Macaca fascicularis: one gene and its partners. The protein of the gene in region 1 purifies or fractionates together with the protein of each later gene. This does not show direct contact. Links are inferred from orthologs where the notes say so. Each region holds a gene or a part of one and is shown in the gene's direction. Other genes may lie near its edges.

Region 1 (3,741 bases):
TTCCTGCTTTCTCTTTTGGGCATTTAGTGCTATAAATTTCCCTCTACACACTGCTTTAAATGTGTCCCAGAGATTCTGGTATGTTGTGTCTTTGTTCTCGTTGGTTTCAAAGAACATCTTAATTTCTGCCTTCGTTTCATTATGTACCCAGTAGCCATTCAGGAGCAGGTTGTTCAGTTTCCATGTAGTTGAGCGGTTTTGAGTATCTTAATCCTGAGTTCTAGTTTGATTGCACTGTGGTCTGAGAGACAGTTTGTTATGGTTTCTGTTCTTTTACATTTGCTGAGGAGTGCTGCACTTCCAAATATGTGGTCAATTTTGGAATAAGTGTGATGTGGTGCTGAGAAGAATGTATATTCTGTTGACCTGGGGTGGAGAGTTCTGTAGATGTCTATTAGGTCTGCTTGGTGCAGAGCTGAGTTCATTGCCTGGATATCCTTTTTAACTTTCTGTCTCGTTGATCTGTCTAATGTTGTCAGTGGAGTATTAAAGTCTCCCATTATTATTGTGTGGTGAGTCTAAGTCTTTTTGTAGGTTTCTAAGGACCTACTTTATGAATCTGGGTGCTCCTGTATTGGGTGCACATATATTTAGGATAGTTAGCTCTTCCTGCTGAGTTGATCCCTTTTCCATTATGTAATGGCCTTCTTTGTCTCTTTTGATCTTTGTTGGTTTAAAGTCTGTTTTATCAGAGACTAGGATTGCAACCCCTGCTTTTTTTTGTTTTCCATTTGCTTGGTAGGTCTTCCTCCATCCCTTTGTTTTGAGCCTGTGTGTGCCTCTGCACGTGAGATGGGTCTCCTTTATACAGCACACTGATGGGTCTTGACTCTTTATCCAATTTGCTGATCTGTGTCTTTTAATTTGGGCGTTTTGCCCATTTACATTTAAGTTTAATATTGTTATGTGTGAGTTTGATCCTGTCATTATGATGTTAGCTGGTTATTTTGCTGGTTAGTTGATGCAGTTTCTTCCTAGCATCAATGGTGTTTCCAGTTTGGCATGTTTTTGCAGTGGCTGGTACTGGTTGTTCCTTTCCATGTTTAGTGCTTCCTTCAGTAGCTCTTGTAAGGCAGGCCCGGTAGTGACAAAATCTCTCAGCATTTGCTCGTCTGTAAAGAATTTTATTTCTCCTTCACTTATGAAGCTTTGTTTGGCTGGATATGAAATTCTGGGTTGAAAGTTCTTTTCTTTAAGTATGTTGAATATTAGCCCCCACTCTCTTCTGGCTTGTAGAGTTTCTTCCGAGAGATCCGCTGTTAGTCTGATGGGCTTCCCTTTGTGGGTAACCCAACCTTTCTCTCTGGCTGCCCTTAACATTTTTTCCTTCATTTCTACTTTGATGAATGTGAAAATTGTGTGTCTTCAAGTTGCTCTTCTCGAGTATCTTTGTGGCATTCTCTGTATTTCCTGAATTTGAATGTTGGCCTGCTTTGCTGGGTTGGAGAAGTTCTCCTGGATAATGTCCTGAAGAGTGTTTTCCAACTTGGTTCCATTCTCCCCAACACTCTCAGGTACACCAATGAGACATAGATTTGTCTTTTTACATAGTCCCATATTTTTTGGAGGCTTTGTTCCTTTCTTTTTACTCTTTTTTCCTCTAAATTTCTCGCTTCATTTCATTCATTTGATCTTGAATCAATGATACCCTTTCTTCCACTTGGTCAAATCGGCTACTGATGGTTGTGCATGTGTCACATAATTCTTGTGCCATGGTTTTCAGCTCCATCGGGTCATTTAAGGTCTTCTCTATGCTGTTTATTCTGGTTAGCCATTCGTCTAATCTTTTTTCAAAGTTTTTAGCGTCTTTGCGATGAGTTCAAACATCCTCCTTTAGCCCGGAGAAGTTTGTTATTACCGATCATTTGTAGTCTTCTCTCAACTTGTCAAAATCATTCTCCGTCCAGGTTTGTTGCGTTGCTGTTGAGGAGCTGTGTCCCTTTGGAGGAGAAGAGGTGTTTGATTTTAGAATTTTCAGCGTTTCTGCTCTGGTTTCTCCCCATCTTTGTGGTTTTATCTACTGTGGGTGTCTTTGATGATGGTGACGTACAAATGGGGTTGTGGTGTGGTTGTCCTTTTTGTTTGTTAGTTTTCCTTCTAACAGTCGGGACCCTCAGCTGCAGATGATGGTGACATACAAATGAGGTTTTGGTGTGGATGTCCTCTCTGTTTGTTAGTTTTCCTTCTTTGTTAGTTTTCCTTCTAACAGTCAGGACCCTCAGCTGCAGGTCTGTTAGAGTTTGCGGGAAGTCCACTCCAGATCCTGTTTGCCTGGGTGTCACCTGTGGAGGCTGCAGAACAGCAAATATTGCAGAACGGAAAATGTTGCTGCCTGATCCTTCCTCTGGAAGCTTCATCTCAGAGGGGCACCTGGCTGTATGAGGTGTCAGTCGGTCCCTACTGGGAGATGTCTCCCAGTTAGGCTACTTGGGGATCAGGGACCCACTTGAGCTGGCAGTCTGTCCGTTCTCAGATCTCAAGCTCCATGCTGGGAGAACCACTATTCTCTTCAAAGCTGTCAGACAGGGACGTTTAAGTTTGCAGAAGTTTCTGCTCCCTTTTGTTCAGCTCTGCCCTGCCTCCAGAGGTGGAGTATACAGAGGCAGGCAGGCTTCTTTGAGCCACGTTCAAGCTTCCCGGCCACTTTCTTTGCCTAGTCAAGCCTCAGCAATGGTGGACGCCCCTCCCCCAGCCTCACTGCCGCCTTGCAGTTTGATCTCACTGCTGTGCTAGCAGTGAGTGAGGCTCCGTGGGCGTGGGACCCTCCAAGCCAGGCGCGGGATATAATCTCCTGGTGTGCCATTTGCTAAGATTATTGGAAAAGCACAGTATTAGGGTGGGAGTGTCCTGATTTTCCAGGTACTGTCACAGCTTCCCTTGGCTAGGAAAGGGAATTCCCCAACCCCTTGCACTTCCCTGGTGAGGCGATGCCCTACCCTCGTTCGACTCACAGTCTGTGGGCTGCACCCACTGTCCGACAAGCCCCAATGAGATGAACCCAGTACCTCAGTTGGAAATGCAGAAATCACCTATCTTCTGCATTGCTCATGCTGGGAGCTGTAGACTGGAGCTCTTCCTATTCGGCCATCTTGGAACCTCTTAAATTATTTTTGTTTTGTGTGATTGCAATTTTGGAATGTTTCTTCAGGTGCAACGAAGGGCGTGTTGGTAGACATTGTGAATGCAGCACAGATGAAGTTAACAGTGAAGACATGGACGCTTACTGCAGAAAAGAAAACAGTTCAGAAATCTGCAGTAACAATGGAGAGTGCGTTTGTGGACAGTGTGTTTGTAGGAAGAGGGATAATACAAATGAAATTTATTCTGGCAAATTCTGCGAGTGTGATAATTTCAACTGTGATAGATCCAATGGCTTAATTTGTGGAGGTAAGTAAAGGACCTGAAGTGGTTGTAAGACGTGATCTCATCTAATGCCACAAAAAATCTAGAGTTTACTTGGTGCATAAGTAGAAGAGGGGTAGCTCGAGGGTCAGTTCTGCCCCAGGTATACTTTCTCACACGTTGTTGCTTATTTTACTTTTCAGTCAATACTGTGATTGTATATTTTTACCATTAGTTTGAGAAATGATATGCTTAATTGCAGGAAATGGTGTTTGCAAGTGTCGTGTGTGTGAGTGCAACCCCAACTACACTGGCAGTGCATGTGACTGTTCTTTGGATACTAGTACTTGCGAAGCCAGCAACGGACAGATCTGTAATGGCCGGGGCATCTGCGAATGT
Region 2 (3,841 bases), on another chromosome or scaffold:
GGATTTTGCCAGTTGAAAATCCTAGGTAGACACATTTCAGGAAGAAAGAAGTGTTGGAGAAGGCACAACGTGTGTGAAAACCCCTGCTGGACACATTCAGGGGACAGCTAGAAGTTGTGTGTGGATACATTGTAGGGTCTGTGGGAAGTGAGTCAGGAAAGGGGCATAAAATGGGGCTGGAAACAGATGGAGCCTCCATTTGAAGTTATGCTAAGGAGACCTGGCTCCATCCTATAGGCAGGAGTAGCTGGTGGGGGGCAACAGGAAGTTTTTAACCATTGTCCAAACTCTGTTGTAGAATTAAAAAGTGGAAAGAAGAGAACACAGGCAGGGAAACCACAAGAGTGTGGTCAGACTTCAACATGATAGCAGTCAATTCAGTAGGAATCTTGAATTTGAGTAGTCAGGTTCATAGAGACAGAAGGTAGAAAGGTGGTTGCCAGAGGCTGGTGGTGGGGATGGGGGTAGGGTTGGGGGAAAGAGGAGTTATTGTTTAGGGTATAAAGTTTGTTTTCCAAGATGAAGAGTTCTGAAGTTGGATGGTGGTGATGGTTGCATAACATGCATATACTTAATCCCCCAAACGGCACAGTTAAAAATGGTTAAGATGGTAGACTTTCTCTTATGCATATTTACAATTACACACACACACCCTTGAGTGCACGCAGACCCTGCTGGATTCCAACCCACAGAGCTTCTGATTTAGCAGAGCTGAGTGGGACCTGAGGATTTGCTTTTTCTGACAAGTTCCTAGATGACGTTGATGCTGCTGGTCCAGACACCACACTTAGGGAATCACTGGTGTATGAGACCAAGTGACTAGAATATGGAGGGGTGCTCTGCTCGCTTCCACGTGGCTACTATTGTTATGAACAACAACAGCGGGCGTTTACTGAGCACTGCTCCTACAGCTTATCTCACAACTGGGTGAAGGAGCAGAGGATGCGCAGGGCTAGAATCTGGAGTCTGAACTTGTCTTTCACCGGGGTTGCTTTGGATCTTACTGGTTGTGAGACAGGGAGGGAAAGAGAGACAAAAACAGGGAGACAGGCCCACTAGGGCCGGCAGAGCCTGTAGTGGCGGAGGGCAGCAGCTTTATCTCCGGGAACCCGAGCGCCCCGTGCGCGGCGGGGAGGGGGCAGCTCCCGGCGCCTCGGCGGGTCCCCGAGGCTGACTCCCGCCCGGGAAGTGCGCGCAGGGCTCGCAGCCCGCAGGGGGCGCTGCCGCGCCGTCCAGCCGCTGCCGCCCGGGCCGCCCACCCTGCGGGCGCGCCCCTCCGCAGTCCAGCGCCGCCCGGCCCGGGACCCGCTCGCGCAGACTTCTCGGGCGGACTGAGGACGCCCACCGCTCGGGGCCGTCCCTGTGCTCGCCTTCAGCGCCCGCTCAGCTCGCCGTCCGCGCCCCGGTGCCGGGCCCGACGCCCGCATCCCGCCCGTGTCCAGGCGCAGAGCTCCCGCCCCGGGGAGCTTCCCGGCCGTCGGCTGACCCCGCGGCCCGCGCGCTCGGCGCCCTGCTCGCCGGGCAGAGGGGAAGGCGGCGGCGGCCGGCTAGGGATGGGCGGCCCGGCTGCGCCGAGGGGCGCCGGGGGGCTCCGCGCGCTGCTGCTGGCGCTGGTGGTCGCGGGGATCCCCGCGGGCGCCTACAACCTCGACCCGCAGCGTCCGGTGCACTTCCAGGGCCCCGCCGACTCGTTCTTCGGCTACGCGGTTCTGGAGCATTTCCACGACAACACGCGCTGGTGAGTGCCCGCCCAGCTCCGCGACCCTGGCCCGCGCGGCCACCGCCCTGGTCCCCAGGCCAGCGCCGCCGCCGCCTTTCCGGCCTCCTCCATGCCGCCGTCCCGAGGGGGCGATTTAAATGTCTCTGTTGCGCGCGGCTCGGCCGCCGGGGGGACGGCGGGAGAAGGGAGGACGCCGTCCGGGGCCCTCTGAGGTCGGGGTCGGCGCTTGGAGGCGGACGGGGGCGTCCGGGCCCCTCCCCGGGGTCCCAGCCCGGAGCGTGCGGGGAGAGCCGCTAGAGTTGTCTCTCCGCCGCCCAGCCAGACTCGGCTTCGCTCTCTGGATCGCAAAGTAACTTGGCTCCTCTGCCTCCGAGTGGCCGCCGCTGGCCCGGTGAGCTTCCTGAACCTCGCAGGGCCTGGAGGAGTCGGGGCACTGGAGCTGCACCTCTCCCCGATTTTGGGGAACCCCTGAGGAAGTAGTATAGCCTCTACAGCGCCGCTGCGCGGGGTGGGGCTCCCCAGGGACAGGGTGTCTGGGATCCCTTAGGGCGCACTGGAGCCCAGAGCCACCCCCTCCCACCCCGCCCCTACAAGACCCTGGGTGGAAGTGAAGCGGAGAAGCTCCTGGGATATAGGGAAGAGGAGGGTGAGGGAGCACCTACGAGTGACACCGCCAGTGGGTCAGGTAGGTGTTTCTTGCGGCAGCCTGAGTCTCATCTCATACGGGCCATTCGACCTGGAGACCTTCACCAGAAGCCTTAAGAGAGAGACGTGTTTCTATAGAGGCCAAGGGGTCCAGCTGTCTCCTGAGTACGAAGAGGTGGGCCTGAAGAAGGGGGCGGCCCTCCCCCATGAAGCACCATAAGCTGAGTGGTACAGAGCTTGTGCCCAACCCCAGCAGAGAAGCACTAAGGGGAGGTTGGTGCCCTCACTGGCCACTTCCTCTGGACCCGAGGGAATGAACAGCCACATAGTGGTCACTTCTTGATAGGAGAGAGAGTTAGGCTGCAGGAAGTTCCCCCGTTCAAGGTCATGCCTCAGTGGGGGCCCAGGTGACAGCCAGGCTGGGGTTGATTTTATTGTGTAGTCACCAGCCTAAGCGTCCTTAGGGGTGGCAGGCAGGGAGGTCGAGGTCACTGTTGCCGGTGCATGAAGTTATGCAGGAGAGTCACTGCTCTGTATTGGACAGAGGCTGATGGAAAAGGGTGATTTGTGGATCGCAATACTCAAGCATTCCCGGAAAAGGGGACTCCGAGACCATCCCACTAAGAATAATGTTGTTCAGGAGATCAGCCTCCAAGAGAACCAGATTTCAAAGCCCTCACTTAGCTCTCTCCCAGCTCCACATCCCCCTCTCTCACTCCAGTTGCTGGGTTTAAGACCGCGTGTCTGTTCTTACACTTGTCAAATTCCCCTTTTAAAGCAGAGCAGGCTGAACATTTTTCTGTGTCCTGCAGACTCAGGGTCTGAGGTTTAAGAACACATCCCAGATCCCCACACTAGGCACCAAGCACATGGGAAGCGCTGTCAAAAATGGGAGGGCTACTGCGGACAGGGGGCTGCTGAGAAAGGGCCGGCAGCTGAGCAGGCAGCCAAGCCAGCCAGAGCATTGTATGTGATCTGCAGGCTGAGGTTGGCTCAAGTGCCTTAGAGCTCTTTGACAGCTAGAGGGAGAGAGGCCAGGCCACTGTCACTGTGGATTTGCATGGGCCACAGGTCAAAGCCACCCTGCCTGGGAAAGGAATGGGTAGAGACGAGAGCAGATCTGACAGAGAAAAGGTGTTCAGCCTACTTTGATTTAAAAAGGGGATAAAGAAAAGCTGTTGTGAGCAGATTTGGCCAGTGTAGGAAAAGACATTGTGGCCTTCAACTTGTTACCCAGGGTAAATGGTAGGGAGGGGATGTGGAGCTGGGCAATAATGCTGTGCATATCCTTGTTGCCAGTTGAGATGTGGGACTGGTATTTCAGGGGTCCATGGGAACCCATGTAGCTGGGCTGCTGGGCTCAAAAGTGCCCTCTCTTGTTGTGATACAAGCTGGCTGCTTTTTTGTGTTGGAGTGCTTGTTCCTGTAGCTGTTCAGGCACCAACTTTACTGAAATCTTCTAAAAATAATGCTTCG
Region 3 (3,841 bases), on another chromosome or scaffold:
TGCCACCGCAGGCTTCTGCCTTTCTTCAGTGTGGCCAGAATTTGGTTCTGCCTGCTGGCAGAGGGCAGGGCCGCTGTCTTCCTCTCCTTGCAGCCCCCGAGCCTAGCATATACCTGGCATCTAGTGGCAGCACAATAAGGAACCTGACGAATACTCCTTTCTTCAGCTCTCCACTCCTCCTCCACTCCTGCCCGCCATGGTCAGGAAGAGCAAGGTCCGGAATGGGCTTGGTGTGTCCCACAGGAAGGCCGTGATCCTGGAAGATGCTTCTCAGCCCAGCCCGGATCTCCTTCCTTTTGCTCTAGAGACTTCTTTCCTTCTTTGTGTACACACATACACCAAGACTCAGGAAGTGGTTCTTGAGGCAGGACCCTAAGAGCCCAAGGAGTGGGTCCGAGGCTGGAGGTGTGGGGGTGTGACGACCGGTCCCACTTTCTGGCCTGTTCAGATCAGCTCCTTCTGGAGACTACCCCTGGCACACAAGGGAGGGAGGCAGCTTGACCCCCTAGCCCGCTTCCAGCCCTCACCTGGCTTTGTCTTCTGGGATAAGACGAGGAAATCCAGAGGATGTAAGCCTCTACCTTCGTGTCTTCCCCCAAACCCTCGCTATCACAGACGATGCAGGAGCTGTCCGGGAGTTGGGAGGGCAGACCTTGTCAATCCTCCCCCAGAGGGCGGGACCCGACGCGGACGTGTATTGATTGACTGGGTAGCGTGGCTTCGGGGAAGGGCTTCCTCCCCTTTTCTCAGACTAGGAACCCTGGAAAATGGAGAAGCTATGCTAATATAGGGGGGTCAGAAATCCCCACTCTAGAATGCGCTAGAATGTTGGGAGACACCCAGGATGTGAGGCCAGGGACTTTCTGGAACTGTTGGTTCTGGCCCCACCCGACCCCAGGCAGTCCCCAGCTGTCTGCACAGTCGGATGGGGAGGGGGCTTGCACAGAGTTGGAGCCAGAGGAGAGAGCTGGGCTACTGGAGAAGGATGGGGAAACCTCTCTCAGACCACCTTGTCACCCGGCCTCAGCTCTCCGCCCCGGCGCTCAGAGGATAACTCTCACCTAGCTCGTCCGCTTCTCTAAACCAGAGTGACCCAGGCTGCGCTCCGCCCTGCTCTCCTACCCCGAGTTGGCACGGAGGCGGGGCGCCAGAGGGGGGCCCCAGGCGCCCCGAGGTCTTGCCTTTTCGGCTCTCCGTTTGCGGGGGGTGGGCGCCTTCTTCCGGGTAGGGGCCACGTGGCCCTGGCCGGGCGGGGGGCTCGGCCCACCCCGCGCCGGGCCCAGTGACTCAGGCCGCAGCTGTTCCCGCGTCACATGAGGGAGGCCGGCGGCCACTGGGCGGGGGAGGGGACCGTGGCTGGAGCCCGGGGCGGGGCCGCGCGGCAGGCGGGGCGGGAGCCGGGGGGCGCAGCTAGAGAGCCCCGGAGCCGCGGCGGGAGAGGAGCGCGCAGCCTTGGGGAGCCCAGGTGAGGCCGCGGGGCCCCGGCAGACTTCGGCGCGGGCTGGGAGAGACCACCGGCGGTCCCTTCCTCCAGGGCTCGCCCCAGGCCCGCGGAGACTCGCCCGGCGCTCTCCAGCCGCCCTCGAGCAACTTTGATTCGAACTTCCCTGGGCCCGGGCAGGGTGTGGCGGGGGTGCCGGCCGCACCTTTTTTTTTTTTTGGTGGGCGGGAGGTCAGAGCCCAGGGGAAAGCGACTGGGGCAGGGGTCGGGGTTGGGCTGAAGACCGTTTCTCCGGGCTGGGTGTTGGGTGGGGAGAGGGTGTTTGACGCCTGGAGACTGAAGGGCCGAGGGTCGGCGTCAGGCTCGAGCCCCTACCGGCGCCCTCGGATCTATCCTGGGCCCCAGAGGCGGCGGGGCGGGGTCCGGGCTTCGCGGCGGTCGCCCCCACCCCTCTCCTGCGGGTAGAGAGGGGGCTGGGAGACGTGGTTCCGACCGCGGGTTTCCGGGTGGGAGGGGCCGGGAATCGGGGCCGTGTAGGGAAGCCCTCGAGGGCCGGCCAGGAGCCCGGAAACCGAGGTCCCCCTTCGGCCAGTTTTAATCCCCCCGCCCTCCTCTCTGCCCCAGGCCCGGCAGCCATGGCGGTGGAAGGAGGAATGAAATGTGTGAAGTTCTTGCTCTACGTCCTCCTGCTGGCCTTTTGCGTGAGTGGCGAGGGGTCCTGGGGGGCGCGCCGGCAGGGTGCGGGGAGACCTGGCTCCACAGTGGTGAGGGCTGAGGGAATAAGAATTAAGGCAGCTGGAGACCAGATGTGGAAAGAAAGCCAGGGAAAGACAGCGCGGCCACTCCCTCCTCCAGTTTTCCTGGACACCTGAGGCTTGTTTCCACCGAGAATGGCCATCCTGGGTGTGCAGCAACCCCTACCCCCATCCCTCCTTCCTGGCCCTTCCTGTCTGGTGACCCAACCACTTGTGATATGGGGCAGTGGGGCAACCAGCCAACCGCCTGATGCTATCGCCACGAGGCTTCCCTTCGCTCTCCCTTCTCCCCTCTCTTCCTCCCCAACCCCCTCATCCCTCTCCAGTCCCTCTCCCCCTTTCTGTCCTCCCAGCGCTTGGGAGCGAGGAAGGGCTCTGCCCACCTCAATTTGCTCCTGTCCTGGGCTCCTGGCTTGAGAGGCTACTGTTTGTCTAGGGAGGGGCACATCACTCTTGCCGCCTTTTCCTCTTCCCTTCTCCTGGCTTAACTGGCCAGAGGAACCTTAGTCACAGCTGATGCGCGTGGGGTGTGCACTGGAGGATAGTGAGGGAGCAGTTCTGGGAGAGAATTGAGCTGGGAGTACTGGAGGCCCGTAGAAAGCATTATTCTAGGTCAGAAATACGTGCCTTGGGGTCAAGGCTTTCTGGGAGGTCTTTGAATTTGGTCACGTCCCTGATTGAAGAGCTGGGAGGGGATCAAGGGAGATGGGGGCAGGAAAGGATGGGTCATCCCCCTTACCTACAGCCAAAGAAGTTCCCTGGAGGTGTGAGAATCTCTCCTCCGGATGGGGTCATGTCTGTGTCCTAGGTGTACCCCTTGCCCTCCACCATGGAGGACCACTGTGTTGTGGATCAGGCCTAATTCTCACCTGCTTTCCTCTTAGGCCTGTGCAGTGGGACTGATTGCTGTGGGTGTCGGGGCACAGCTTGTCCTGAGTCAGACCATAATCCAGGGGGCTACCCCTGGCTCTCTGTTGCCTGTGGTCATCATCGCAGTGGGTGTCTTCCTCTTCCTCGTGGCCTTTGTGGGCTGCTGCGGGGCCTGCAAGGAGAACTATTGTCTTATGATCACGGTGAGTGGGAGGCGGGACTAACATGGGTGGTCTGGGACTGCCAGAGCAACTTGGTTGGTGCTCAGGAAGGTGGGTGAGGTGAGGTGGGTGAGTGAGGAAGACCTTTGTGAGTGTCCAGGGACCGGCTATGCCAGAACGGGCCCCTGTAATGCATAGACTCCAAACCTGACTCCTGTCCTTTGCTCCTGCAGTTTGCCATCTTTCTGTCTCTCATCATGTTGGTGGAGGTGGCCGCAGCCATTGCTGGCTATGTGTTTAGAGATAAGGTAAGCAGGGAATAATGGGAAGGGCCTGCCTCAGCCTGGTCTGGGACCCAGGTGCTTGAATTCTGACGGCAACAGTGCTCCTCCGTACCCTCAGGTGATGTCAGAGTTTAATAACAACTTCCGGCAGCAGATGGAGAATTACCCGAAAAACAACCACACTGCTTCGATCCTGGACAGGATGCAGGCAGATGTGAGTGGGGTTGCTGGGAGCAGGGGTGATGGGAATAGAGAATTCTCATCTCCAAGGCTGGGTGTGGTGGCTCACACCTGTAATCTCAGCACTTTTGGAGGCCGAGGTGGGCAGAT

The links.
Region 2: the proteins of ITGB1 (region 1) and ITGA9 purify together in Homo sapiens (affinity purification with mass spectrometry; 3 studies listed by BioGRID and IntAct, counting the BioPlex papers as one, with this or other methods). This does not show direct contact. The link is inferred for Macaca fascicularis from reciprocal best matches to the Homo sapiens genes ITGB1 and ITGA9.
Region 3: the proteins of ITGB1 (region 1) and CD63 purify together in Homo sapiens (affinity purification with western blotting; 3 studies listed by BioGRID and IntAct, with this or other methods). This does not show direct contact. The link is inferred for Macaca fascicularis from reciprocal best matches to the Homo sapiens genes ITGB1 and CD63.

The regions. Positions count from the first base shown.
Region 1 is NC_088383.1:33,663,645-33,667,385, reverse strand, and holds part of ITGB1 (integrin beta-1), read left to right. Parts: intron 1-3,148; coding exon 3,149-3,387; intron 3,388-3,604; coding exon 3,605-3,741.
Region 2 is NC_088376.1:99,480,717-99,484,557, forward strand, and holds the start of ITGA9 (integrin alpha-9), read left to right. Parts: upstream 1-1,315; 5' UTR 1,316-1,553; coding exon 1,554-1,738; intron 1,739-2,218; exon of another isoform or gene 2,219-2,405; intron 2,406-3,841. UniProt on the Homo sapiens protein: Integrin alpha-9/beta-1 (ITGA9:ITGB1) is a receptor for VCAM1, cytotactin and osteopontin. It recognizes the sequence A-E-I-D-G-I-E-L in cytotactin. ITGA9:ITGB1 may play a crucial role in SVEP1/polydom-mediated myoblast cell adhesion.
Region 3 is NC_088385.1:62,512,479-62,516,319, reverse strand, and holds the start of CD63 (CD63 antigen), read left to right. Parts: upstream 1-1,412; 5' UTR 1,413-1,465; intron 1,466-2,065; 5' UTR 2,066-2,076; coding exon 2,077-2,142; intron 2,143-3,080; coding exon 3,081-3,269; intron 3,270-3,460; coding exon 3,461-3,535; intron 3,536-3,629; coding exon 3,630-3,725; intron 3,726-3,841. UniProt on the Homo sapiens protein: Functions as a cell surface receptor for TIMP1 and plays a role in the activation of cellular signaling cascades. Plays a role in the activation of ITGB1 and integrin signaling, leading to the activation of AKT, FAK/PTK2 and MAP kinases.